Linked DNA regions of Canis lupus familiaris. The protein of the gene in region 1 binds, or shares a complex with, the protein of each later gene. Links are inferred from orthologs where the notes say so. Each region holds a gene or a part of one and is shown in the gene's direction. Other genes may lie near its edges. The genes, in order: G-patch domain and KOW motifs-containing protein-like, RBM48, DHX16, BUD13, PPIL2, CWC22 and CWC27.

What was found.
Region 2: G-patch domain and KOW motifs-containing protein-like (region 1) and RBM48 share a complex: the UniProt entries of both Homo sapiens proteins name them as parts of the minor spliceosome. The link is inferred for Canis lupus familiaris from reciprocal best matches to the Homo sapiens genes GPKOW and RBM48.
Region 3: G-patch domain and KOW motifs-containing protein-like (region 1) and DHX16 share a complex: the UniProt entries of both Homo sapiens proteins name them as parts of the minor spliceosome. The link is inferred for Canis lupus familiaris from reciprocal best matches to the Homo sapiens genes GPKOW and DHX16.
Region 4: G-patch domain and KOW motifs-containing protein-like (region 1) and BUD13 share a complex: the UniProt entries of both Homo sapiens proteins name them as parts of the minor spliceosome. The link is inferred for Canis lupus familiaris from reciprocal best matches to the Homo sapiens genes GPKOW and BUD13.
Region 5: G-patch domain and KOW motifs-containing protein-like (region 1) and PPIL2 share a complex: the UniProt entries of both Homo sapiens proteins name them as parts of the minor spliceosome. The link is inferred for Canis lupus familiaris from reciprocal best matches to the Homo sapiens genes GPKOW and PPIL2.
Region 6: G-patch domain and KOW motifs-containing protein-like (region 1) and CWC22 share a complex: the UniProt entries of both Homo sapiens proteins name them as parts of the minor spliceosome. The link is inferred for Canis lupus familiaris from reciprocal best matches to the Homo sapiens genes GPKOW and CWC22.
Region 7: G-patch domain and KOW motifs-containing protein-like (region 1) and CWC27 share a complex: the UniProt entries of both Homo sapiens proteins name them as parts of the minor spliceosome. The link is inferred for Canis lupus familiaris from reciprocal best matches to the Homo sapiens genes GPKOW and CWC27.

The regions. Positions count from the first base shown.
Region 1 is NC_049260.1:42,454,833-42,458,555, reverse strand, and holds part of G-patch domain and KOW motifs-containing protein-like, read left to right. Parts: intron 1-826; coding exon 827-1,040; intron 1,041-1,469; coding exon 1,470-1,602; intron 1,603-2,244; coding exon 2,245-2,371; intron 2,372-2,575; coding exon 2,576-2,699; intron 2,700-2,790; coding exon 2,791-2,860; intron 2,861-3,646; coding exon 3,647-3,723. UniProt on the Homo sapiens protein: RNA-binding protein involved in pre-mRNA splicing. As a component of the minor spliceosome, involved in the splicing of U12-type introns in pre-mRNAs.
Region 2 is NC_049235.1:18,068,207-18,072,543, forward strand, and holds the start of RBM48 (RNA-binding protein 48), read left to right. Parts: upstream 1-1,343; 5' UTR 1,344-1,354; coding exon of another isoform or gene 1,355-1,388; coding exon 1,389-1,499; intron 1,500-1,571; exon of another isoform or gene 1,572-1,727; intron 1,728-2,518; coding exon 2,519-2,709; intron 2,710-4,337. UniProt on the Homo sapiens protein: As a component of the minor spliceosome, involved in the splicing of U12-type introns in pre-mRNAs.
Region 3 is NC_049233.1:603,086-606,808, reverse strand, and holds part of DHX16 (pre-mRNA-splicing factor ATP-dependent RNA helicase DHX16), read left to right. Parts: intron 1-1,403; coding exon 1,404-1,614; intron 1,615-1,806; coding exon 1,807-1,905; intron 1,906-2,019; coding exon 2,020-2,172; intron 2,173-3,723. UniProt on the Homo sapiens protein: Required for pre-mRNA splicing as a component of the spliceosome. Contributes to pre-mRNA splicing after spliceosome formation and prior to the first transesterification reaction.
Region 4 is NC_049226.1:16,831,914-16,835,636, forward strand, and holds part of BUD13 (BUD13 homolog), read left to right. Parts: coding exon 1-34; intron 35-1,585; coding exon 1,586-1,691; intron 1,692-2,050; coding exon 2,051-2,189; intron 2,190-2,506; coding exon 2,507-2,691; intron 2,692-2,928; coding exon 2,929-3,010; intron 3,011-3,723. UniProt on the Homo sapiens protein: Involved in pre-mRNA splicing as component of the activated spliceosome. As a component of the minor spliceosome, involved in the splicing of U12-type introns in pre-mRNAs.
Region 5 is NC_049247.1:31,132,202-31,135,352, forward strand, and holds the end of PPIL2 (RING-type E3 ubiquitin-protein ligase PPIL2), read left to right. Parts: coding exon 1-113; intron 114-223; coding exon 224-230; intron 231-384; coding exon of another isoform or gene 385-395; coding exon 396-611; 3' UTR 612-2,608; downstream 2,609-3,151. UniProt on the Homo sapiens protein: Has a ubiquitin-protein ligase activity acting as an E3 ubiquitin protein ligase or as an ubiquitin-ubiquitin ligase promoting elongation of ubiquitin chains on substrates.
Region 6 is NC_049257.1:23,753,429-23,757,838, reverse strand, and holds the start of CWC22 (pre-mRNA-splicing factor CWC22 homolog), read left to right. Parts: upstream 1-1,413; 5' UTR 1,414-1,437; intron 1,438-1,449; exon of another isoform or gene 1,450-1,602; intron 1,603-2,800; exon of another isoform or gene 2,801-3,232; intron 3,233-3,321; exon of another isoform or gene 3,322-3,524; intron 3,525-3,530; exon of another isoform or gene 3,531-3,679; intron 3,680-4,410. UniProt on the Homo sapiens protein: Required for pre-mRNA splicing as component of the spliceosome. As a component of the minor spliceosome, involved in the splicing of U12-type introns in pre-mRNAs. Promotes exon-junction complex (EJC) assembly.
Region 7 is NC_049223.1:50,071,509-50,075,231, forward strand, and holds part of CWC27 (spliceosome-associated protein CWC27 homolog), read left to right. Parts: intron 1-3,560; coding exon 3,561-3,723. UniProt on the Homo sapiens protein: As part of the spliceosome, plays a role in pre-mRNA splicing. Probable inactive PPIase with no peptidyl-prolyl cis-trans isomerase activity. As a component of the minor spliceosome, involved in the splicing of U12-type introns in pre-mRNAs.

The DNA.
Region 1 (3,723 bases):
CTGTAACGGGATCCCTTCTGTACGGGGTTACCTTTCTGAGCATTAGCTTCCTCATCTGAAAAATGAGGGTAGTGACAATACTGACTTCCCATATCTGTTGCAGAATTACATGAAATTATGTACATAAAGCACTTATAGCAGGCCCTGGCCCAAAATAAACATAGATGAAACATTTGCTATTATCACACAGACTTTTGATCCCTTCTCAGTTTTCTGAACTCCAAAGAATTCTGAAAACCAAATATTTTTTTTCAAACATTTTTTCATAAACCATTTAGTAGCCACACATGACCTGAATTGACACAGAGCATTTTATAGTCTGTTCCTCCTATTTGGTGTGAATATTTGTATGATTTCCCCTGTAGAAATATTAGGGTATTATAATCAAAATCACAGAGATCTGCCTCAGATCCTGCTGTAAATAATATGTAATAGATGGTATACCCAGTGTGTTATTAGGTTGGACCAAACGAAATTGCTTTTCTGTAGATCAAAAACAGTCCTGGGATCCCTGGGTGGCTCAGTAGTTTCTAGCGCCGCCTTCAGCCCGGGGTGTGATCCTGGAGACCCAGGATCGAGTCCCACGTCGGGCTCCTTGCATAGAGCCTGCTTCTCCCTCTGCCTGTGTCTCTGCCTCTCTTGCTCTCTCTGTGTCTCTCATGAATAAAATAAAATCTTAAAAAAAAAAACAGTCCTAATGTGAGATCGGGAAGGATATTCTTGAGCATGTTGATGGGGTGGGATTTGGATGGCTGTGAGGGGACACTGAAGACTTGCATTCCTCCCCTCCCCAGCCCAATAAGCTCATATACTGTGTTGCCTGCAGAGTGGTGAAGCCCCGTCTCAACTTACTGAGGCCGAAGGGGTTAGGGCTGGGTGCCAACCTGAATGAGGTCCAGGCCCTAGTCCCCACTGGCCCCCACCACCTGCCAAAGCCAGATGAAGAGCAAGAGAAGGCTAAGGAAGACCAGCCTCAAGGACTGGTGCCTGGAGGAGCTGTGGTGGTTCTTTCTGGCCCTCACCGAGGCCTCTATGGGAAGGTAAGGAACCAAGCTATGCCTAGAGCCCAAGACAGGCAGCGGGGAAGTTTGATGTGAGGGTCAGAGGGAGGAAGAATTGGGCTTAGGGTGGAAAGGCTGGAAGTCCTTGTCTTTCAGGCCTGCCTGGCTTGCTACCTCATTTGGTAACTCAGAACCACTTGCTGGGCCTGAGTCTCAGTTTACAACTAAAAGAGAGAATGGCCATATGTGCCAAATGTTCCTGAGGCTTAAGTTCTTTAAAATATATCCAAGCCACACAGTCTGGTAGGGGAAACACATGAACCAGGCCCAGGCCCAGGCCTTGGGTCAGTCTGGTGGGGGAGACACAGGGGTCAGGCTTATAGGAGGTAAGACTGGACAGTTCGGTCCTAGGAATGTGAGTTTAGTCCACTCAGACCCTGCCTAACTTCGTCCTCCCCAACGCTTCAGGTAGAAGGCCTCGATCCTGACAATGTTCGGGCCATGGTTCGCCTGGCCGTGGGGAACCGCATGGTTACTGTTAGTGAGTACTGCCTGCGCCCTGTCTCCCAGCATGAGTTTGACAAGAACACCTTGGATCTCAGTGAGTGTGCCTCTTACCTAGCTGGGAGAGTTGGAGAAACATTCCAGGGGGCAGTAGGGGCCTGTACCTGGGGGTGAGGCTGGGTGGGTGTCAGATCTGCAGAGGGGAGGGGCAGTGGTCTGTCAGGCAGATGTGACTTCTGGTCAGAATCCAGGAGGTGAGAATGAAGATCAGTGGTTTATTCGGTTTGAAGAAAAACTGATCTAGTAACCCTGGGGCTTTAGCCTCTCAGAGAAAAAACAGGTGTGGAAACCTATTCCTATCCTCAGGAGGTCTCTGTCTGTTCTAGGTGATGAGCCTCTCTTCTTCTGGGTGTGAGGGCAGCCGGGACTAGGCCATGCCCAAGGAGAAAGGCATTCTAGGCATGGCAGCAGGATGGGGCGGTTTGACAGATGAGATATTGGTGCTGATGGAGCTCTCAGGATTCCCTAGCCCACCTTGGAGTGGCTGAGGAAGCCTTCCTGAAGGAAGCCCCAGCAGTTGAGGGGAAGGGGAGAGCATTCTGATGGCATAGGCAAAGTTGTGATGGTGGGAGGGGACATTGAGGCAGGTGGGAGGTGGCCTGAGGCCAAGGTGTAGCCTGCCAGGTAAGAGGCTCACACTGAGGCTCCTTCCTGGTTCTCCCCATACACCCTTGCACAGGCCAGATGAACAAAACTTCCCCAGGGCAACAGAATGGAACAGCCTCATCATGGAAGGCCCTCCGGGATCAGGACCTCCCCAGCTGGCGGGAGGACTCAGAGAGGAAGCGGAAACACCTTCCCGACCGGTGGGACCCTGGGCATCTGGGGTTGGGGGAGAAGGCAAGGCTGTGGAGGGATTCTAGCAGTCAGAGAAGGCTTCCCGGGCAAGGCAGGCACATAGAAGGAACTAGGGATGACATCAGGGCATCAGGGGTGGGTTTCACAGCAGCCAACTGTGGGGTGACCAGAACGTGTCTCATCAGCTAAGCCTGTGTTGGCCCTTTCCGCAGACAGGGGGAGCCCGCAGCCAAGAATGAGAAGGCAGGTCCCCAGAGCCAGCACTGGTTGCACAGGGACCTGCGTGTGCGCTTTGTGGACAGGCAGCACAAAGGTGGCCAGTATTACAACACCAAGGTGGGAACCCTGCAGCCTGGCTTTCCCCCACCCCCCCGGAACTAGGCCCCCATAACTGTAACACTCTCACATCCCGTGACCCTTTCTCCAGATGACCATTGAAGATGTCCTCAGCCCAGATACCTGTGTGTGTCGAACAGATGAAGGCCGGATTCTGGAAGGTGAGTCTGAGGGATGGCCACTGGGGTTTTAATCATCCATCCTAGAGGCTGAATAGGAAGGCTGTCTTCGACCCAAGAGGCTGGTGCAGGCAAAGGCTGGAAGGTTAGGCAGAGTTCAGGCATTTTGCACAGCCCAGAATCTTTTGACAGAATACGAGGCACTTCTGTGATGGTGATTATCTAAGCTGCTCTTTCCCCCTGTGATGGTGATTATCTAAGCTGCTCTTTCCCCCTGTGCACACTGGCATAGAAATGAGCTATTTCTCCCTCTGGGGACTGGGCCTTGTACAGATGTGTACTGAACTCCCCGTGCAGGGCAGGGCATATGACGTGCACACAATAAACGGTATCTGTTGTCATCACCCATCATTTTCGTGCATAAGTGCTCCTTTTTTCATAGTTCTTTCTTCTTTTTTTTCCCAAGATTTTATTTATTTATTTGACAGAGAGAGAGCATACACACAAGCCCGGGGAGTGGCAGGGAGAGGGAGAACCAGACTCCCTGCCAAACAGGGAGCCTGATGTGGGACTTGATCCCAGGACCCTGGGATCATGACCTGAGCCTAAGGCAGACGCTTAACTGACTAAGCCACCTGGTGCCCTATTATAGTTATTTCTAGGAACTGCTCCTTAGGTGTCCTCACCTGTGAGCTGGAGTGGGGCAGGGGGACTCCCACCTGTCAACAGGGTGCAGGATGGCTCTGAGGCATACAGGAAAGGCTTTCTGACAGGACCTGGGTGGGCTGGCCCTGGCCATGGGCCTCACTCCCCTTTCCTCATCTGCAGGCCTGAAGGAAAACATGCTGGAGACCCTGGTCCCCAAGGTCGAAGGCAACCGGGTGATGGTGGTGCTGGGGCCACAG
Region 2 (4,337 bases), on another chromosome or scaffold:
CTTCTAGTCCAATAATTCTAGGGGGGGGGGGAATAATCTAGAAAAAAACAGTTCCAGAGAAGTAAGATGGAAAGGTCGGGTACTTAAAACTATTGGAAACTCTTAAATATCCCCCTCATGATGAGCCAGTTGTGGGTACCATGCATTCAGGATTTCTGAGGATTTCAAAGATCCCATCCCTTTGCCTGCATAAACACAGACTCACAGACTACAGGTCTCTATCTCTAGCTATGAAAATGCGGATGCTGTATTTCTGCCAGTAATTAATAAAAAAAGGACGACTGACGGCAGAGGCTCAAGTAATCCTACCTATGTACCTCCAGGTATGCAGAGTTCTACTGCACATCCCCGGCACACCCCGGACTGGGGGGAGCCTCTGGTTAGTGACCTACTCCGCATGGGGGCCGCGGTGCTCCGCTGTTAATCTACAGGGGCTCTGCAAACCCAACCCGCCCCTCCTTCTGGAGTCCAGGACGGCAGTCGTGCAGGGATCTGGAAATCACTGCCAAGAAAAACATTTTTCAAGATAAAAATAAAAATTAGCGACTTCCCAGGAGCTTTTCCAAACCGGAGTGAGGAATATTTCTGAATGCAGACGTAGACTTAGGATGTTTGTAAGCCCAGTCTCATGGAGTGAAAACACCTGGAACAGGGCAAGTTAAAGGCCCAGGGCTGCACGACCTGCCCCCGGCGGCCGTGCCCTCGAGGGGCCCTCAGTCCGGCCTCTGAACCGCTCGGCGGCGACGGCGGAAAGGCAGCCCTCGCCACGCCGCTCGGGGCGGGGGGCCTGAGGGTCGCCGCGTGCCTCCAAGGCCTCAGCCCCGTCCGCCCCCAGGCTGCTCCCAGGTGTCCCGAGTCTGGGCGGGGAGCCCCGTCCGCGGGCGGCGCGGTACCTGCAGCAGGTGCAGCTGGGCCACGAGGCGCCGCGGCAAGCGGAGGAAGCAGTCGCGAGCGTTGGTGAAGACGACAGTCGCCGCCACCCCACCCCCGTCTGCACCCGCCAGGCGGTCGCCGCCCCACATCGTCCGGCGCCGAAGACGCCCCCGCCGCGGCAGCCCGCTCCAGCCGACGCCCGCCGCGGGGCAGGCCGAGGCCGTCGGAGCCGGAGAAGATCGATCGGCCCCGCCCCCTGCGGCCCCGCCCCCTCGCCGCGCGCCCGTCCGAGGAGGGAGGGGCAAGCAAGCTTCCCCAGCAGTCCCGGGCCTCTCCGCCGCGCCGCCGGAGGGCGGCACCTCGCTCACCCAAGTCTCACTCGCCGGAAACGATGCGGGCCGCCGTCGGCTCTCCAGCCAATCCAGGCACGCCGTGGCCCATTCCCCTCCGTCATTGGGTGGGCGGGAGGGCGGCCCGGCGGATGTTGTCGTTTTGGCCGGAGCCAAGTAGGCAAGATGGCGTCGAGCGGCGGGGAGCTCGGGGGCGTATTCGATCACCACGTCCAGAGGGCCGTGTGCGACACGCGGGCCAAGTATCGGGAGGGGCGGCGGCCTCGCGCTGTCAAGGTAAAGTGACTTGGGTTTTCACTCGCTATCCTCGATAGCGTTATCATGCCCGGCTTGATAGATGAAGGCTTGAGGGGCTGCGGGCCTGCCCACCAGGCATCGGCGGTGGGACGAGAGGCCGGCGCTCAGTTACCAGACGTTCTCACGAACTCCTCGGCTACCTGCTAGAACGTCAGCTCCGCGGGGACGGGGCTCCGCTTTAGTCTTTGTATCTTCCGTGCTTACGTGGTAAGCGCTCAGTGAATCGTTCTCGCTCTCTCTCCAGTTAACTTCTCCTGAGCCAACTTCCGGAAAATATGTCCATTGAAGATACTCTGTGTTTTAATTAGAGGCCCTGACACGGAGGGGTGAATTTATTCTTTATTTTTTCTGCAGACCGGCTGAACAGAATGTTTCTTCTTTTCAGGGCTTTAAGTTTTTTGTTTTTTTTTTTAATTTTAATTCTAGTATAGTTAACCTACAGCGTTATATTAGTTTCAGGTGTACTATATGATAATTCAGCACCTCTGTACGTTATTTAGTGCTCATCATTGTAAATGTACTCTTTAATCCCCAGAGCTTTTTCTTCTTTTTTTTTAAATAGAAGATGTGTCTTAGGCTTATTTGGAAAATACATTTTTTAATTTAAATTCAGTTAGCCAACGTATAGTACACAGTGTCAGATGCAGATGTTCAATAGTTTATCAGTTAGGTACACCACCGAGTGCTCATAACATCATGTGCCCTCCTTAGTACCCATCACGGAATTACCCCATCCCCGCCCACCTCCTCTCCAGCAACCCTCAGTTTGTTTCCTAGAGTTAAGAGTCTCTCTTGGTGTTTCTCCCTCTCTGATGACTTCCCGTTCAGTTTTCCCTCCCTTAACTACGATCCTCTGCGCTCTTTCTTATATTCCATGTATTAGTGAACTGGAGAGTATTATGTTATTTGGTGAAATAAGTCAATCAGAGAAAGGCAGGTATCACATGGGTTCACTAATATGTGGAAAATACATTTTTATGTGTCTGCATTTCTTTTAGGTATATACAATCAATTTGGAATCTCGGTACTTGTTAATTCAAGGAGTTCCTGCGGTGGGAGCAATGAAGGAATTAGTTGAGCGATTTGCTCTATATGGTGCAATTGAACAGTATAACGCTTTAGATGAATACCCAGCAGAAGACTTTACGGAAGTTTATCTTATTAAATTTATGAATTTACAAAGTGCAAGGTAATGTGCAAGTTAAGCTTAAGTTTCATTTCCGCCATTCCCATTGCTAGCACATTGGTCCCAGTTGTCCCTCGTTCATACCTGAATTACTGAGTAACGCTGTATTATTTTAATCTTACTCCAGTCTTTTTTTTTTTTTTCTTTTTAAGATTTTACCCATTTATTCACGAGAGACACAGAGAGAGAGGTAGAGACACAGGCAGAGGGAGAAGCAGGCTCCCTGCAGGGAGCCGGACGTGGGACTTGATCCCAGGTCTCCAGGATCACGCCCTGGGCTGAAGGCAGGTGCTAAACCGCTGAGCCACCCAGGCTGCCCTATCTTAACTCCAGTCTTAAATGTCATTACCTTGCTTAACAATCTTCAGTCATATATTGTGGTAGATTACAAAATGGGTTTGGATAAGTTTTCGAACTTCACAGCTTACTAACATCGTGACTTTGGACAAGTCATTTAACCTCAACAAGCCTGTTTTTTCTAGTCTCTGAAATCTGTACAGTAAAAGGACCTACTTTGAGGGTTGTGTGAGGATGGTATGAAATAATCCATGTAAAGGGCTGAAACATAGTGCCTCCTGTTGAGAATGCAGTAAACATTAGCTATTGAAGTTCTTTTTTTTTTTTTTTTTTCTTTAAACTTGCTGGGATTTTTTTTTTTTTTAAAGATTTTATTTATTTATTCATGAGAGACACACAGAGAGAGAGAGAGGCAGAGACACAGGCAGAGGGAGAAGCAGGCTCCATGCAGGGAGCCCGACATGGGACTCAATCCTGGTCTCCAGCCGCTGAGCCACCTGGGCTGTCCGCTATTGAAGTTCTTAATGTTATGCACCTATGTGAATTGACTCAGTCTTTTCCTGCCTTCTGCATAAATTCTGTGCTTCAATAAGGGTGAAATGCCTCATCTAGTTTTATGTTTACCCCATTCTTGTCACTAATTTGCTCCAATATCCATCCTTTGGCTATTACCATTCATACTTCCTTTTTCTCTTTAAAAAAAAAAAAAAAAAAAAGATTTTAATTACTGTATCCCCAACATGCTCAAACTTACAGCACCAAGATCAAGCATCACATGGTCTACCGACTTAGTCAGTCAGGTGCCCCACCATTCACATTGTCTTTCCGTACTCCAAATAGCACTTGCAGTCTGCCACAAAAGCACTTGATTTTTATAGGGTTATGTATTGTTCTCAGTTTGCTCCCTTATGTGATCTCACTTCCCCTAACCAACTTCCCCTCATAGTTAGCGAAGCATATTTTCTAGAGTTTTTGCATCTCCCACAGCACATAATATGGTAGGTTGTGGAGTTCAGCATCTCAATTTGAATCATAACTCCACAAACTAGTGTGAGCATGGCTAAATTATAAATCTCCTGAGGCCTCCTTAGGTCCTCATAGGGTTTTATGAAATCTTAATTCAGGTGAAGTACTTAGGGCACTGCCTGGTGTGTGATAAAATCTCAATAAGTATTTCTATCATTATCCCTAGACACGCAAGTACTTAAATATTTATTGTAGTATAATGCTTAGCCAGTTACATATGTTTGATAAGTATTTGTTGAATATCATCATGTAACTTTCTCGTTGCTTATATATTCAATATTTACTCAATTATTGAAGATTTTACTATT
Region 3 (3,723 bases), on another chromosome or scaffold:
TCAAATCTTAGGAGGCTGTGAAGTTCTGGTCCTAGAAGATCACAGATGGAGCAACAGGACAAATATGATCTGAGCTTTCACATCCCTTGCAAAAATCTCAGAAACCATGGAAGGCCAGCTAGTGCAAGAGTGTTTAGGGTGTGCGGTTTTCCTGTCAAGCCAGCCTGCTTTGTGAAACAGCTGGGGACTTCACTGGCATAGTCAGGGATACGCACAAAGAATTGAGGTCAGGGGTGAGCTCCTGCAGGCATGGCTGTCACCTGAGAATCCAAAGACTTTAGCAAAGATATCAAAGATGTGTCCCACATATAACTAAGGAGGAGACCAAGAAGCCCGCAGAGCCCTCTAAGATTGGGGTAGAAAGGCCTACTGGGGGACACCTGGGTCCCTCAGTGGTTGAACGACTGCCTCTGGCTCAGGGCATGATCCTGAGGTCCCAGGATTGAGTTCCATATTGGGCTCCCCAGAGGGAGCCTGTTTCTCCCTCTGCTTGTGTCTCTGCCTCTCTCTCTGTTTCTCATGAATAAATAAATAAAACCTAAAGAAAGAAAGAGAGAGAGAGGAGACGGAGAGAGAGAGAGAGAGAAAGAAAAGAAAGACAGACAGACAGGCTTACCTGGTTCCTCTCTCCAGAAGGATGCAGCAGGACCAAGAGACATGCACAACAGCAGTCTCATGGAAGCCTAGGAGCTCCTGGGCTGTGCAAATCCTGGTGCTTCAGGTCTGTATGTTCATTCTCAGCCAGCCTGGGGAGCCCAGCCTTACTCCCAAAGGCCCTGTTCTCACTTTTTTCCCCCCCTTTAAAACAGAAACTCTTATTTCTGTTGAGTCTAACAGATCCATGACTCTGATCCAGAGAGCATATGTGACTTGTCCTGGCCTTGGCTTTCAGCCTCCAGATCTTGGCCGTTGTTGTCTGTCCAGGCTGAGATAAACTGCAGACTGCGGGCCCTTGGCTTTCTTTCTTTCTTTCTTTCCTTTCTTTCCTTTCTTTCCTTTCTTTCTTTCCTTTCTTCTTCCTTCCTTCCTTCCTTCCTTCCTTCCTTCCTTCCTTCCTTCCTTCCTTCCTTCCTTCCTTCCTTCTTTTCTTTTCTTTCTTTCTTTCTTTCTTTCTTTCTTTCTTTCTTTCTTTCTTTCTTTCTTTCTTTCTTTCTTTCCTTTCTCTTTTCTTTTCTTTCTTTTCTTTTCTTTTTTTTTTTTCTTTTCTTTTCTTTTCTTTCTTTTGGCTTTCTTTAACATTGTATTAGTCTTCCTTAACTGGGGTGATTGGCCTCTCTTTGGAACCCCCCCTCCCATATTCACCATTGGGCTCTTTGCTTTCCCTTTGTGCCCTTGTCCAGGGGATCCTGTTGTCCTCTCCTGGGCAGCTCTCCTGGCTCACAGCTCTCTTGTTCTTTCCCCAGTGTGGTAATGGTAGATGAAGCTCATGAACGAACCCTACACACAGACATTCTCTTCGGGTTAATCAAGGATGTTGCTCGTTTCCGGCCTGAGCTGAAAGTCTTGGTGGCTTCAGCCACACTGGACACTGCCCGTTTCTCCACCTTCTTTGATGATGCTCCTGTCTTCCGAATCCCTGGACGCAGGTTTCCAGTTGACATCTTCTATACCAAGGTGCTCCCCTCAGGGAGGATGGGCTGAAGTGCGAGGCTGAAAAGCTTGGGCCTTTGGAGAAGGTAGTCCCAAGGAGGGAAGGGGAAATGGAGAGTCTGAAGAAGAACTGGGATAAACTGATTATTGAGCTGGGAGAAGAGGAAGTTTCTTGAACAGATGGCCTTCCTGTGACCCTCTCCTCCTCACCCCCAGGCTCCAGAGGCTGACTACCTAGAAGCTTGTGTGGTGTCTGTGCTGCAGATCCATGTGACCCAGCCCCCTGGGGATATCCTGGTGTTCCTGACAGGACAGGTGTGAGACATGGGGCAAGGGACAATGAGGTGTGTATCCCAGGGGAAAACAGAGCTGGCAGGTGGGCCTTCTGTCACTCTGGGACCTGTACTGCTCTCCCCATCCCAAATCCAGGAGGAGATTGAGGCTGCCTGTGAGATGCTCCAAGATCGCTGCCGCCGCCTGGGCTCCAAAATCCGGGAGCTCTTGGTGTTACCCATTTATGCCAACCTGCCTTCTGACATGCAGGCCCGTATCTTCCAGCCCACACCCCCGGGGGCACGAAAGGTCAGTTGGAGACGCCCACATTCTTCACCCCTATAGTTCACACAAATAGTGAAAAAGAGGGTGTGTGCCTGCCCTATGCAGGCTATGTCCTGGGCACTGCTGCAGCTGCAAGGCTTAGTTGTAGTCAATCCCTAGCCTCCAGAGCTGGAGAGAGAGGGTGAATTCAGCAAATATTTGATCCAGTTAGTAAGTATGTGGAGATGCAGAGGAGAAGGGAAGTCCTCAGGGTGCCAAAAGGTGGGATTTGATTTGGATCTTTAGGGAAAAAAAGGTAGGTAATACCAGAGTAAGGCTTAAGGTATGTTTAAGTCAGAATGTAATCCAAAAGGCTGAGGGGAAGGTTCATGTGGTGAAAACAATTCTGGACTGAGATTAGGGAAGGCCTTTGATAGCAGTTGGAAGCATTTTGACTTTAGATGATTGGGTTTTGAGCAAAGACGTAACTTCCATCCAACAAATGTATAACAAGCTCCTGCCATGTGCCAGATACTCTTCTTGGGCATGAAGATACAGTGATGAACAGAACAAAGTCCCTAGCCTCACAGCCGACAGTCTAACTTAAATTAGGAGACAGTGGACGCGTAGATGCCTGATGCTGATTTGTGACCAATGCTGTGGAGAGATATAGCCCAACATGGGGGAAAAGGAGACTGACTCCAGGGAGGCTGGGAGTGAGCAATGTCAGGAAGGTAGTTTCCTTGGGGTATGGGAAGGTGAAAGGGAAGCTGAGGCCTGAACCCAGTGAGGGAGGGAGCCAGGCTGATAGCTGGGAAGGGAGTGTGTCCAGCAAAGGAAGGCACTCATGCAAAGGACCCGAGTGAGGAGTGTGCTCAGACCAGCCAGGGAGCAACTGTGCAGGAGTGGAACGACGGAGCCTGTAGTCCTTGGAGATGAGATCAGAAAGGTAGAGCACTTGGAGACTTAAGGGGCTTGGATATAATTCTCCAGTAGGATGGGAAGCCATCAACGGATGGTGTTAGTGATGTGACAGGTTTACATTTTTAAAGGACAATCTGGGTGCCAGAAGAATGCCAGGTAAGCAGGACTTGGAGTAGAGGCAGGGAGACACATGAGGAGGCTATTGAAGGAAGTCCTAGCTGAGGAAGATTGTGAAAGTGGTAGTGGGAAAGATGGAGGCAGGGACCTGGACTCCCTCTCCCATCTCTAAAAAAAAAAATTTAACTCCTCCCATTTCCTTTCCGCCTTATGTCTCTTTTTTTCTTTCTTTCTTTCTTTTTTTTTAAGATTTTTATTTTTTTAAATTTATTTATTCATGAGAGACACAGGCAGAGGGAGAAGCAGGCTCCATGCAGGAAGCCCAATGTGGGCCTCGATCATGGGTCTCCAGGGTCATGCCCTGGGCTGAAGGCAGGTGCTAAACCGCTGAGCCACCCAGGGATTCCCTTATGTCTCTTTTCATTCCTTCTCTCCTTGAACCCTTCCTGGCCTTGTCCCTGTCTTCTGACATTAGGCAATAATCCTCTTTGCTCCTGTCCCTTATCTGTGCCTGCTTCTTTACTCAAGTCTTCAGGATTACTCTTTCTAGGGAAC
Region 4 (3,723 bases), on another chromosome or scaffold:
TCCACCTCGAAGGAGTCAGCCTCTAGGAAAGAAGGTAGAGTTTTTCAAGAGCCGTGTCCTTCTCTTAGAGTGACTCCTGTTTTCTAGCTTTGTACATGTCTCCAATACATAAACCAGAGAGGGAGGAGGTAGTTCCTGGTAGTATAGTAGATCTAGTGCAGTTACCTCTAGAGCTCTTTGCTTCTCTCTGCAGGCCAGACTGACTGTAACCCAGCCCAGAAGAACTTGCAAACACCAGGTTTCCTAAGTACCTTCTGTCTTTCTATTCTCTTAATTCCACAAATCTCAATTTTTAAAAAGTCCAGAAAAACTTTCTATTTTCTTATGAATGAACTAAGAACTATAGTTTACAGAGTAGAATTTGGAGTACAAGCCTTGTGTTGGATATTCAAATCCTACTTCTTCAACTTACTGTGTGAGATTTGAACAAGCTGTGGAATATCTCTAAGCTCCAGCTTCATCTGTAAAACATGGATAATGGTAGTATGTACTTCATGAGGTTATTGTGAGTTAAATGTGTAAGTGTATCTTACAAGTGCCCAGGACAAAGTGAGACATTAGCACAAGCAATTTATTATTATAAATTGGACTACAGGTCTCTATATCCAGAGCATAAAGAGAGGTGTTTAAAATATAAAATGACTTTTAGAAATCATATCACCTGGGAAGTCAGTGTTTTGTTTTATTTTAAATCTATGATGAAGCATGAATTGCCCAGATCATCCACATGAACTCTTTTTTGTTTTGCAAAGCACACTGGTGCTAGGAAAAGAATCTTATTCCAGTGGGTTGGTTAAGAAATAGTAATAGAAAAAAATGAACAGTAATAGAGTCTGCAATATGCACATTTCCGTCCAACCCAGACTTTTCCAGGTAAGTCTTCTCTGTCACCCACATTATTCTTGTAGCCTGTCCCTGACTCAGGAAGTGGGGCTCTTCTCTTTTGGGGAACAAAGTGAGGTTTGTGTTGAAACTGGACCCATTGCATTTTAGGCATCTGTTTCTTTCATGGACAATTTTATGCTAATCAGGTTTATATGTTGCACTGGATACTCTGTATACTCCGTTTATGGGTCGGTTGGTTATCTTGATATGAAATGGAATTTAATAAAAAGGTTTGATTTGGTCATAACTTGTCATTATCCTGAAATGTATCCACAATTGAAGGACCTTAGATTTGCTTGAATATGTAGTTGAAATGGAATATTTTATCAGTGTATGTCTCTACTGGAGGGCTTAGAGCTTGATACAGGTTTCAATCAGGTGATTTGAAAATGTATCTTCATGTGTGCAGTTTATATATTAAAAAGTCAGAAATATAGATGCTGTGCCTTTTCTTTAATATTTTCTTAGTTTGTGTTTCTGTTTATTCTTAAAACTTAATAGTACTGTTAATTTGCCACCAAATTCAGCTTTATTCTTTTTTATTTTGTGAATCTTGTGGTCAATAATGAGAATACAAAGCTACAGTGTTTGGTTTGGTTATTGCTAATTATCAGGCAAAAATGCATCTAACTGTGTATACCCTGGAGCCTACTGCTACATTGTCTCATTAATGTCGCATGCTCCCCTTTCTATTGCATAGGCTACACACATGTATTCTGGGGCTAAAACTGGGTTGGTGTTAACTGACATACAGCAAGAGCAGCAGGAGCTCAAGAAACGGGACCAAGAAACTCTGGCGTTCGAAGGTAAAAATGTAAAAATTCAGAGACTAATTGAGGCTCATTTAGATTTTATTTTTTTAATGTAGTTTATTGTGCCTGATATTTTAAACTTTTAATTGATATCAAATTTCAGTTCTGGTTTTATGTATTATTTTAACTTCTTAGTAGGCCCAAGTGATTCTTTTCATTCTTGAAAAAGGTTAGTTAGATATTGGTAGGAGCTATTTGTAGTCTGGCTGCAAAAGTTTTTATCCAGCATCAGAATCCCAAGTGGTTAAAAAAAAAAAAAAAGGAATCCCAAGTGGTTGATTTCAACTGTTAGAATATTGTTTCTGATTTTGATACCTGATGTTTATCTTTAAAAGTAGAATTTTCCTTTGCAGCTGAATTCCAGTATGCTGAAACTGTATTTCGAGATAAGTCTGGCCGTAAGAGGAATTTGAAACTGGAACGTTTAGAGCAAAGGAGAAAAGCAGAGAAGGACTCGGAGAGAGATGAGCTGTATGCTCGGTGGGGAAAAGGGTAAGAGAACTGCCGAAGTGAAGAACAAGACTGTGCTAGGACTGGAGAGGACATTATCTAGTTTCCTGACCAACTAGTTCATTGTTCTGCCTTCAGAGCCATTTCAGGAATGGAAAATTTGGTGTGCTCAGTCTCCTTCCTAAAATACTGATGTATTCTACACTTTCAGTTCGCTTTCTGGAAATTTTACTCTTTTCAATATTTGGCTTGTGCTGTCAGAAAAAGGAGGTGCTCCAAATGTAGTCATATGGTCCATTTTAGTGTAAGAAGGGAAATGTTACACTAGATAGCAGACACTCTTGGTTCTTTTTGCCCAGGCTAGTCCAGAGCCGGCAGCAACAACAAAACGTGGAGGATGCAGTGAAGGAAATGCAGAAGCCGCTGGCCCGTTATATTGATGATGAAGATCTGGATCGGATGCTGAGAGAACAGGAAAGAGAGGGAGACCCCATGGCCAACTTTATCAAGAAGAATAAAGCCAAGGAGAACAAGAATAAGAAAGGTGAACCTTTTGGGATTCACCAGAGACTTATGTAAAGAGGGATGGTCGTTAGGCTGATGGTACATAGCTGGACAGAGAGAAGGCTTTCCCACACAGTTTTAGATTCCTTGTATTTGGGAGTTAGGGTTCAGCTCAGTAGAGATCTCGGTGTAAAATTTTTTGTTCCCACTGCCACTCAGTTCTGAATTGAGTTACATAAGGTAACTAACTTCTTTTCTCTCTCTCTCCTCTCACCAGTGAGACCTCGCTACACTGGTCCTGCACCTCCTCCCAACAGATTCAATATCTGGCCTGGTTATCGCTGGGATGGAGTGGACAGGTAAGCCTGAATGTTTCATACATTTTTGTTTTCTTTTCCATCTGCCCCTAATCTTCCCTAACCGTTCTTAAATTACTCTCCCTCTCTCTCTACTCTAAGCACAAGGTTAATAACATGTAGTTTGCTTTTTTTAAGGTCTCCAAATCCCATTTCCCATGCTCAGAATACTACTACTCCTATTTTCCTTTTCAAAGCTTTATAAAGCTCTGGACAAATTGCTCTGGTGGTGCTGATAGGATACCCTTTGTTTCTGACATTGGTCACCTCTAGTGATATTTTCTAAGGTTTAGAGGGAATGAGTGATGGATGGGAGTCTGGAGTTTTTTTGTGTGTTGTATCTTTAAAATGTAGTTCTTCAACCTTCTCTTCACTGCCTTAGGAGTGAGCTACTTACAGGGTCTCACTGACCTCTGCAACCAGCATCTACCCATATACTCTAACTTCCTGTCTATTAACATGATGACCTAAATGTGCTTCTATCCAAAGTCTGTCCCTCTCCTTATACATTAGAGTCCGTCTCCTCTTGCCTACAAAGGACATTGTTCTAGCATTTAGCATGATAATTCTCAAACTTTTTGACCTCAGGAGCCCTTTCTACTTCTAAAAATTACTAAGGACCCCAAAAAACTTCTGTTTATGTGGAATACATCTTTTAATATTTACCATATTCAAAATTAAACTGAGGTGTTTAAAAGTGTTTATTAGTTCATTAA
Region 5 (3,151 bases), on another chromosome or scaffold:
GAGGAGGCAGCGGCCCCGGAAAGCACAGTGAAAACCCGCCAGCCCAAGCCGGGGAGCCAGGGGCCCCAGACGTACCGCCAGGGGGTGGGCAAGTACATCAACCCAGCAGCCACGTGAGTGCAGCGCGGGGCTGGCCGTTTGCACGGTGCTCTCCAGGCTTCCCAAGGCCCACAGGCCACAATGTGCCAGTGGCGGGGGAGCACCAGGCTTCGGGGCTGAGCAGTGAGCAGGTGTCCTGGGGGCCACCGTGCAGGCTGGAGATTGAGGACTTGGGTGGGGACTGCGTGGCTGTGACGTCACATGCAGCAGGTGCTGTGGGAGGGCGTGGGAGGGCGTGGGCGGGCGTGGGCCTCCAGCTCGAGGAACTGATCCTTCTCTTTCCAGGAAACGTGTAGCAGAGGAAGAGCCCTCAACCAGTACAGCTGTGCCTGTGGCCAAGAAGAAGCCCAGCCGAGGCTTTGGGGACTTCAGCTCATGGTAGCAGCAGGTCTGCCCCTCTGGATCCCCGGGGGGGACTGGGGGCCGGGGGCCTGTGTCCACAACCCCGTGTTTCCTGCCTCGTCACCTGCCCGTCTGACGACACCTCGCTAAAGCTCTTGCTTGTTGCCTGAGGCCCCCTTCCTGTGGCCCGCAGACCAGCCAGCAGTGTGGGCGAGGAGGGCCCCCGACTCTGGCTTTCCCACCCTCCCCCACCCCGGCTGTCGTCGTCTCAGGGACTGTACTCAGTGTATCACCTGGGACCTGGTTACACACACAGAATCGCAAACCCCGGACCTTCCGATCTGGGGACTCGGGGCAGGCTCTGCGCTCTGCTGACACACCTTGGGGGGCTCTCGCTGCCAGTGGCTTGAGGACCCTGCATGGGAGCCTTGCCATTAGTTTCTAAAACCTCTTCTGCTGCCTCTTGCCTGGACTCACTGGGGCCTGGCCACCCACCCAGCAGGGACTCTGGGTGGTCACAGCCATGTTCCCCGTGGGCCTGCTCTGGCCAGCCCAGGTGCGGGCTGCACCCAGGACTTCCTGCCTCTCTGCCTCAGGACAGGCACAGGAGCGCCCGTGGAGCAGCTCTCCGGTTCCTGCTGCTACTGATGGATGCGCCGAAGGCCCTGCCCAGCTGGCGTGACCCCCCTTCCACCCTCAGGGTCCCTCCTTGGCTCAAACACTTGACCCCTTGCCCTAGCACTAGGGCTTCCAGACCAGCCTCACCAGCGTTTCTGGACTTAAAAAATCCCTTCCCTTTTTATTTTTCTATGTCTTAAAAAAAAAACTTAGCACTTGCTTGCCTGCCCTTTCTCACTAACTGTTCATTCTGGAGCGTGTGCCTGCGTGGCTTCCACGTTCTCGACACTGACACCACTACCTCGGCCTTCCCAAAGCACCTCTACAGGAGCGTGGGGATAGCTGTCCACCCCTCACCCCCACTCCCAAGACCTAGTCCTCGAGTCAGCATAGGCCACAACCCCCTCCAGCTTGTCACACTATCGTTCTGAGGCTCTGTCCCCGGTTCTTCCCCTCGCCCAAACCTCAGATCCATCAGTGAGTGTCAGTAGTGGCTCCAGAATTTACCTGGGCTCTGCTTTTTCCCATCTTGGATGCTGAAACCCCAGACCCACGCCTTGTCTCACCTGCCTCTGTTCAAGTCCCTTGCACACACCCACACAGATGCCATCTGGGTCACCTTCCCAGAGCTCGTCAGCCTGTTGGCATTTTGCTTCCCAGCAGTCAGTGGCTCGCCTCCGTGTGAGAACAAGGTCTGTGCCCCCCACGCACCGTGCCCTCTGCATACCCTGCCTGTGAGTGCAGCCAGGGCCTGGGGCTCTACGGTGACCACTCAGCCCTCTGTGCCCATGGCCAGGCCTGGCCCTCTTCTTCACAACCTCATCACGACCCCTCCCGGCTACATCCAGACATCTGATAGCTGGTGAAACGCTTGTGTCCCAGTGTCTGTGCCCAAAATGCCTCCAAGATCCGGGTTCACCCAGGAGGAGAGGGCTGCGTGTGGTGACAGCCAAGTGAACACACTTGCAGGCCACCAAGTAGTTGCTGGTGGCTCTGGGTGCGGGCAGAGGCCCTGGAGAGGGGGTGTCCCAGAAGGCTTCCCCTGCAGCCTTTGGGGGAGGGGGAGCCCAGGTGACCAGACCAGAGCCACCACAGGAGCTCGGAGACCCTGACCCAACACTCCCAGCAGGAAGCCGGGGCTGTCGGCCGAGAGCAGAGTGCCCGGGACAGGACGTGCGACTGAGAAGGACAGGTCTGACATTGGAAGCTTTATTGTTCAACCTCACACAGACACAGAGGACGGAGGGCTGGACATGGAGGCTGAAGGAGGCTTGTGCACGTGAGCTTGGCAGTCCTGCTCAAAGGGGCAAACCTTCGGACTGCTGTCCATCTGTCCGTCCCTCCAGCTGCGCCCAGTGGCCACACTCACCTGGCCCCAGGCAGGCCCGGGCCACCCTGGCTGCAGATCCACCCAAGGGTCTTTGACAAACAAGGGTTTACATTTCTGTAGGTTGTTCTGGAATTTAGTTTTCTAGATATTAAAACCACTCAGATTTTGTAAGTACCTGGTGAGGTCACCAGGTAAATTAAAGGACTTTTGGAAAAATTCCCATGTCTGATCTCGCCTAGTATCTGACAGATGCCATCAAGAATAAGTGTTAAGGTACAAAAATACTATATATATATGTAGATATAAAACGGCAACAAAACTAAACCACGCTTCTAAAGCAGATGTGCTGCGCCAGAAAACACTACATAGTTTTAAGTTAAATGCATTTATGGTCCTGGCATCCCCTCCCCATTCTTCAAGGACAAAAATACTTTAAATAATTTAAATAAAAGACACAGGATGATATTTACTGTTTAGGGATTTAAAAGGGTGGAACATTCCAACACTCCACCAGCATATCTGGTTGTGGTCTCGAGAATGTCCTTCCCTGGAGCCAGCTCACGGTCTGTTCATTTGGTTTCGAAAGGAGCTTCGATTTTGATTTTTCGGAAGACCAACAACAAAAAAAGTGTTGAGTTTTCGTTGGTATCAGTTACCAAAAACAAAAAAAACCAAAAAGTACAAAAGAAGGCCTAAGACCACTGGTAAAAATGTTTCAATGCCATCACAAAAGACAATACAAAAACCAAAGTGCTCAAATCA
Region 6 (4,410 bases), on another chromosome or scaffold:
CAACTCTAACATTCCTACCTCTGTCGAAAATTGTAGAGGTGGTAGTGTGCTTTTTTTTCAGATATGGATATAAATGTTTACCAGATTCCTCTCCTATGCCCTGTATCTATTCGCTTAAATATTTAAAGACACTAAAAAGTACCTTTAACTATGGTCAAATATCTTAAATATGAAAAAGAATAGCTAATACTGTGGGACGCCTGGGTGGCTGAGCAGTTCAGCGTCTACCTTTGAATCAGGGCGTGACCCCCAGGTCCTGGGATCGAGTCCCACATTGGGCTCCCCACAGGGAGCCTGATTCTCCCTCTCCCTCTGTCTCTGTGTCTCTAATAAATAAATAAATAATTAAATAAATAAAATCTTTAAAAAAATAGGTAATACTGCTATGTGGTAGGAATTATATCACATACATCAAGTTGTATCAACTAATTCACTTCTTAAATTCACAACTTAATCCACAACTATTAACTTCTTAAAAGTATCCTATGGGGTGGGTACTAATATTTTCCCCAATTTAACAGACAATGGGCACACGGTGTTAAGTAATCTGCCCAAGAAAAATCATCCAGGGGTATTTCGATAGATTCAAGAGCTAAATCTGCTCCAGTGTCTTTTATCTGTAATCACTACACTCTGCTGCCTCAAAGAAAGGGTTAGTAGCATGATTACTCTAAAATTCTAATAGAAAAAAATGTTTGGGGAAACCAGGCCTGCTATATAGAGAAGGTTGGGGAACATGACGGATACAGTTGCTTTATGAAAAGATAGTTTCCAAAACAGTAGCAAGTAGTTGAACTTCTGGGTTTTGTTACTATTAAGTAAAGAATAAAAAAACTGTTCCACTGATTACCTCTGATCTCTGCATAGTCTGCTATTTCCAAGTTGGCCAATCTCCTTATCCTGAGGATGTCCTGCCAGCTGGTACCTTAAACTCAAATAGATGCATCCTCTTCTCCACAAAATTAGCTTCTCATTACTTCATTTTGTGGTCCAATATCCTCCCATTCCCGTAGGCTTGAAATCTTGGAACTTAGTAGGCACTTAAGGCTTCAGGACATTTTTGCTTATATAGGTTCTTTATATAACTACTGAAAAAAATCTGGAAAAGGCGTCTGCCCTTCTTAAAATTTTTCACGGATAAGTGACTGCCAAGGCCTATTTTTGCCAACTGCAGAGAAAGAGCTTTGGAGTAAATTTTGCCCAAGCCTCATCACTACCAGGCTTCAGACGAGCCGCCAAGGATTCTCCGCCGCCTACGCAGAAGAACTACAATTCCCGCCGTACATTGCGACTCTCTCTCAGCCTGAATTACAATTGTTACGTCACTTCCGTCCTCACCGGCGGCGGACGCCGGACTTTGTAGTTTTAAACCAACTTCTCTTTTGTCGCCGTCTTGGAAAGAGAAAAATTGAGTCCGGACCACCTGCTCTAAATCTGGTATTACGAGAGGGTATTTAAAAAGTAAATTAGCAGGCTAGCATTATAAAGTGAATTTAGCGTCAGTTTTTTTTATCCATTTCACGTACCGCCTTCCTCGCACTGCCGGGCCGGGAAGGGGAAGTGACGCACATCCGGTGTAATGGCGGCGCGGTGGCGCTCCAGGTAACTACCGGACTCCGTGGACTCGCCTCAGGCGGCGAGCCGGGGTGGGGGTGCGGGCTGCCGGGCCGGGTGGGCCCCGCAGCGGGGAGCAGGTGTGGGGGCCGTGGGACGGCCGCGGGCAGCGCCGGGGGTGCGCGGCTCCCCTTCCGGAGCCCGCCGGCCCGCGAGGCCGCGGCGGGAGAGCTGCTCGGCGGCGGAGTCTGCGCGGGTGGGAGGCTGCGTCCCCGCGGACCGACTTAGGTTGGGGGGCGGGGTGTGCACGGGGGGACCTCGCCGTGTCCCCGCGCGGACGGACCTAGCTCCCGGGGGGGGGGGGGGGGGTGCCCGGAGGTCCTCGCCGTGTCCCCGCGCGGACGGACCTAGCTCGGCGGGGGGGGGGGGGGGGGGGGGGTGCCCGGGAGGACCTCGCCGTGTCCCCGCGCGGAGGCACCTAGCTCCGGGGTAGGTGCCCGTGGCCCCCTGCACCGTGTCCCTGGCGTGGACGGACCTAGCTCCTGGGGGGGGGAGTGCACGGGAGGACCTCGCCGTGTCCCGGCAGTGGACGGACCTAGCTCGGGGGGTGGTGGTGCACGGGGAGGACCGCGCCGTGTCCCCGCGCGGACGGACCTAGCTCCCGGGGCGGGGGGGGCGGGAAGGGGTGCACGGGAGGTCTGCACCGTGTCCCGGCCTTGGACGGACCTAGCTCCCGGGGGGAAGGGGGGGTGCCCGGGGGGACCGCGCCGTGTCCCCGCGCGGACGTACCTAGCTCCCGGGTAGGTGCCCGTGGCCCCCTGCACCGTGTCCCGGGCATGGACGGACCTAGCACCCGGGGGGGGGGGGGTGCCCGGGAGGACCTCGCCGTGTCCCGGGCGTGGACGGACCTAGCTCCTGGAGGGGGGGGTGCACGGGGAGGACCCCGCCGTGTCCCCGCGCGGACGGACCTAGCTCCCGGGGGGGGGGGGGGGGGGGGGGGGGGAGGGGTGCACGGGAGGCATGCACCGTGTCCCGGCCGTGGACGGACCTAGCTCGGGGGGGTGCCCGGGAGGACCTCGCCGTGTCCCCACCCAGAGGGACCTAGCTCCCGGGTAGGTGCCCGTGGCCCCCTGCACCGTATCCCGGGCGTGGACGGACCTAGCTCCCGGGTGGGTGCCCGGGGCCCCCTGCACCGTGTCCCGGCCGCGCCGCCGTCGCAGGGCCCGGACCCCGTGGAAGCGGGACTCCCCGCCTGTAGCTGCAAGTTCCTCTCTTCTGCCTCTTCGCAGCGTCGTAGCCCTGTTGCATAGCTTCTTCAGACTTCCATTAGTTGCTGCTCTTTTCATTCATTTGCCCCGTAAATGAAGAGGTTCCCTGGTGCTCATTCCTCATCCAGGGAGCTCGCGGTCCTCTTGGCTCCTTCCGCGCGTGGGTGTCCTTACTCCCCAGCGCGGGTCTCCTCGCGTGCGAGCCCCGGATCCTCCCCATACACCTGTACCGGTCGGCAGTGCAGTAGCTGGTTTCGCTGAGTCTGCCTGCAACAACCGCCTTCACTTATTTTGACTTGATGCTCGCAGCGACTTTTTAGGTGAACAGAAGGGGGAAAATGGAGAACGGATATGCCAGATGCCAGAGAGAAGTGATGGGACGCGTAGTAAGAGCCCCTTTACGTTTTTAGGTAACTGCAGACTATAGCGATAGCGGATGGAAAAACGAGATCTGGCCTTCAGAAAACCCGGTGAACCTGCTGCCTCCTTACCGCGTGTACATTTGTTTCAGGATCGCCAGTAAACTCGGGAGTTGACCTCGATTATCATCCAGCGGTGGAAAAGCGAATTTAGAATCGACATTAAAAAAAAGTGTGACTTTGTTCGCAGAGGCGTTGTGACAAGCAGCATCCGTAGGAGCAGGAGATGCTGGGTGATGGACTAGTAAGCCAAAGGTGCCCGTCCCGGCTCAGCACTGACTAGGTCTGTCCCTTGGGGCAGGTAACCTGACATCTCTAGTCTCAGCTTCTTCACCTGAAAAATGTGGGTGATGATATCTAACTTAGTGAGTTGTTTCAAGGATAAAGAAAAATCACGCATATTAGACCCTTGTGCACACCCAGCGCCTGGCGTGAAAGGTTAGTTAGCTCTTGTTACCGCTGTGATACAGTTGATGAGGTCTCTTGCCTCAGTGCTTTTCTTGTCCTTTGGTTTGGAATGTTGCCCTCGCACTTTTAAGCTCCTGTGCCACTTTCCTGGAGCATCTCCCACCCACTTCATTTGGCCGGCATCTGGTTAACTGCCCCCCCCCCCCCCCCCCCCCCGTGTTTGTCCGTTGCCAGGTAATCTACAGTAACTTGTACCTGAGACCGTCTAAGAGAGGACTCATTTATAACGCCGCTGAGACTTTATTTTCTGTTTATTACCCACATGTATCTAGACCGAGTTTTGTACGACCCGGTGTATCGCTAACTTGGTATAAGTTACGGCTGGTCTAGAGCAGGTTTAAGAAAGAGGTGGTTGTCGGTAATGTAGCTGATCCCACTGATGACCCTGTGGGCTTCTTTGTTGCATTTCTCTACCATTTAAATTTGAACATTTTAGCATGGGATGTGATAAAACAGACCTCAGGCATGTCAGTCTCCACAAACTTCTGGACTTACTAAATCTGTAGCCTAAGTATTTTATCTCAGCATATACATTTCCCAAGGGGGCATTGGAAGAGGTAATTCATTACCTACAACAAGTGCAAATTTTCAAAGCATTTTTCTTCAAAAATAGTAGATCAGGAGAGGAAGCAATAGATTAATGCAAACTTTTGCTATTTGTAGCTTAGTAAGTCAGAGAACAGATACCAAAAAGATGGTAA
Region 7 (3,723 bases), on another chromosome or scaffold:
CTTTAATTTACGGCTTTCTGCGTTTTTTCAAATTTGTAGGAAAATCTGTTTCTCTTTGTGGACTTTGTGCTGTTGTTCACATGTCTAGAGTTCATTTCTTATACCAGAGCCAGCTAAATCCAATAGTTGCAAGATTCTCTCATGGGAGAGAAAGGAAGAAGGTGCCTATAAGGTTTTAATTGACAGGTTCTGGTAAAGTCATTTTTGAAATGTGGACAGTCCCTAATAGAAATGGATATTACAAAAAAAAAAAATCCATCTGCATTTTTGGAGAGAGCAATAATTTTTGAAATAGAAAAATGTGTATATAGAAAGCTATTAATAAGTTAACTAAAGACAGTGGTTTTGTTTTTTACTATCAGTACAGGAGTATTAAATAAAATTGTTTTAAAGGGCATGTTTCAGGTACTTCCTGGTTTCAAGCTACTTACCTGGGTTAGGTATCTGCACAAGAATCATTTATTTGCTAAACGCTTACTGAAATGCAGTGCAAGGTCTGTACTCCCCACAATGTGTGATAAAGGACCTTTAAAAGGACATCCTGCCATCCTTCTAAACTTGTTCCTCAGGAGGAGAAATACAATTCCTAAAAAGTATACTTTGTGGGAAATGCAGGACAGATTATAAGAAGTGTCAAAGAAAAAGACCACCTCTCCTTTACCTGAAACAAAAGGTTTAATTTATTAAGTAAGGAAGAGTTATGCTTTTAGGCACAGTCTCTGAGCAAAGTGGGTTGCAAATCTGACACAGAGTTTTGGGGTCAGGGATTATTAGGGGTTATCAGCCTCAGGAGCCCCATTATGCACCAGAGGCTCTCGGTGATTGGCCAGCTTTCAGAAATGTTTACTCGACAGTCCACCACTGATTGGCCAACTGATTAGTTGGCTTTCAGAGGTGTGTTTACTGAACTGAGTTGTCACTGATCCTTTAGGCCTAGGCAAATCATCATTAATTGATTAAATCCAGTTTGAGTACGTTTCAAACCAGTTCTAGTAGTCCCTGGTTACCACGAATGTAGAACAATCCGCCTTTTTCTAGGAGTTGGGATTGTTTTATTTTCAGAAGCTAACACTGCAGGAAATTCAAAGTGTAAGAAAGTCACACTTGAGGAATCTATTTAAATAAGCAACAATCCTATGTTGTACTTCCTTGAATACCCTACATCCTCCTCCCACAAAGAATCTACAAATTTATCCTACTAAATTGTATGATTATCCATGATAAAATTGGTGCTATTTATTCTGTTATCATAAGCTTAATTCAGAGCTCTTTTTTCCATTTCTTCCATTAAATGTATCTTATCATTTTCAAAGAAGATAGAAACAATTTAAAGTGGAAATTTAGGAAGCAAAGGCCTCAATATCACCATTCTTGAAATTACCTGTCCAGCATGGTTTTTCCACTGTCATTGCTATGGTAAGGAGGTAACTATACTTGCTGATTTTCTTTTTCTGTTGTTTTGCTTCTATTTTTCTTTCCTTCTTTGTTCCTCCCTTTCCTTTTCCCTTTCTTTCCTTTTTTCCTTCTTTCTTTCTTTCCTTCCCTCCCTCCCTCCCTCCCTTCCTTCCTTTTGGATATAGTTGCCATACAATGTTACATTAGATTTAGGTGTACAACATAGTGATTCAAGTATCTATACCTTACACTATGCTCACCACAAGTGTGGCTGCCATCTGTCATCATGCAACACTATTACAATATTGACTATATTCCTTATGCTGTGCCTTTTATTCCCATGACCTATTCATTCCATAAGTGGAAGCCTGTACGTCCCATGCCCCTTTACCCATGTGGCCCATCCTCCCACCCCTCCCCCCTCTTGGCAACCGTAAGTTTGTTCTCTGTATTTATAGGTCTGATTCTGTTTATTGATTTGTTTTGTTTTTTTAGATTCTACATCTAAGTGAAATAATACGGTATTTGTCATTGACTTATTTCAGTAAACATAACACCCTCTAGGTCCACCCATACGGTAAATGGCAAGATCTCATATGATGCCTTTTTCTGAATAAAGATACTCACTCAAGCAAAAGAAGTGTAAGGATTCAGCAGTTCTTACAGGTGATATGGCATGTTCACATTGAACATTAGTTATTGAAATTAGTTATGAAATTTAATGCAAATTACATATTAGTGATATAGAAATAAAGCACAAAAAGTATAGAAAATAAAGATAATAATAAAGTATAGAAATGTGAATGTGATTTACTTCATTTAGTAAGTTAAAGTAGACTCTAGGTCATCCATATAATAATATCACTTGTACTAACTGCAAGCTTTTCTGGGATAGAAGGGATGGGAATGATAGTTAAGGCTCAACTTGTTAGCCCTTGAGAACAGTAGCTACTGAATCCTTAGTAACTTCAGTATCATTAATACTATAACATTTTATTTGTCACCAAAATGTTTTCTTCAAAATCTGAATATATCCGTGAGAGTTTTTCACATAAGTAAGCTTCACTCAGCATTTCTGCTACTGCAGGGAAAAGGGATGGGGGACTTGTACCTACTGCCCAAATCCCTGCTTATTCAGGGAAAAAGAAATTAATGTAATATTTGGGTTTCATGTGAAAGTTACAGCGGGTGTATGGGGAGTGTTAATCCTATAGGCAATTTAGCCCTATCAGCTGTGATAAAAGTGTTGGGTATGCCCACTTTAAAAGTGCTTAAATAACAAGTGGGAAAAGCTTTAGTAGTTTTGTTTATATATCGAAACTGACTTTTCTCTTTCCAAATTCATTCAGTTGCTCTGAAATCTGGTCTTTGACTTCCCCATTTATTTCTGACACCTCCTAATGGGGGCAGAGCTAATCACTTACATATTTCCCTGCTGCTAAGGATAGCCAGCTTATGACCACTTAGGACTCAAGCACATGTTGATACCTTAAGACCAGTAAGCATTTGATAAAGTGGGAAAAGCAGGATGGTTAAATTTGTTGTAATCAACAGTAAGAGGAGGAAATTAGTCCATGGAGCTATGCCAAAGCTTAGTTTCCTTTTGCACAAAAAAAAAAAAAAAAAAATCATTTTTTGTTTTTAACCCTGCAGCTCCCCTGAAAAGGCAGTCATAACATCATTTGAACAAGAATTTTCTTAACACATTCCTGAATCTTGACCCCTTTAACTACTGAAAACAGAAAGATCAGATAGGGCTGGTTTATTGTCAGGAGTTCTGCTCTGCCGCCCTGCCCTCTCTGGCTAAGTGAGCCTGCTCTTTATTTAAAGGAAGCTGGCAAAATGTTCTCTGAGTTTAGGTGAAGGAACATTCTGCTACAATTCCTTTAACCTCCCATCAGGAAAGGACCTTCAAGTGAAGACTGAGGCAAAGAGACTCTTTACTAAAAAATACAAACCAACAGAACAAACTCCAGACACGTTTTTCAAATTTAAGTGTCTTCTGAGAAGGTGGTTTCCATGCGGTGTAAGCACCAATAAACAACAAGCGCATGTTGGTGTCCTGTACCCTATGGTGCGTTATGCCAAGGACAGTATAGTATAAAACGTCTACTTTCTGTTCTCCTGCCAAAATCACTGAACCATCCATCTCTCTCCCTCTTCAGGATGTCGCATGTACTTCAGTTTGAGGATAAAAGCAGAAAAGTGAAGGATGCAAGCATGCAAGATTCAGACACATTTGAAATCTATGATCCTCGGAATCCAGTGAATAAGAGAAGACGAGAAGAAAGCAAAAAGCTGATGAGAGAGAAAAAAGAGAGAAGATAA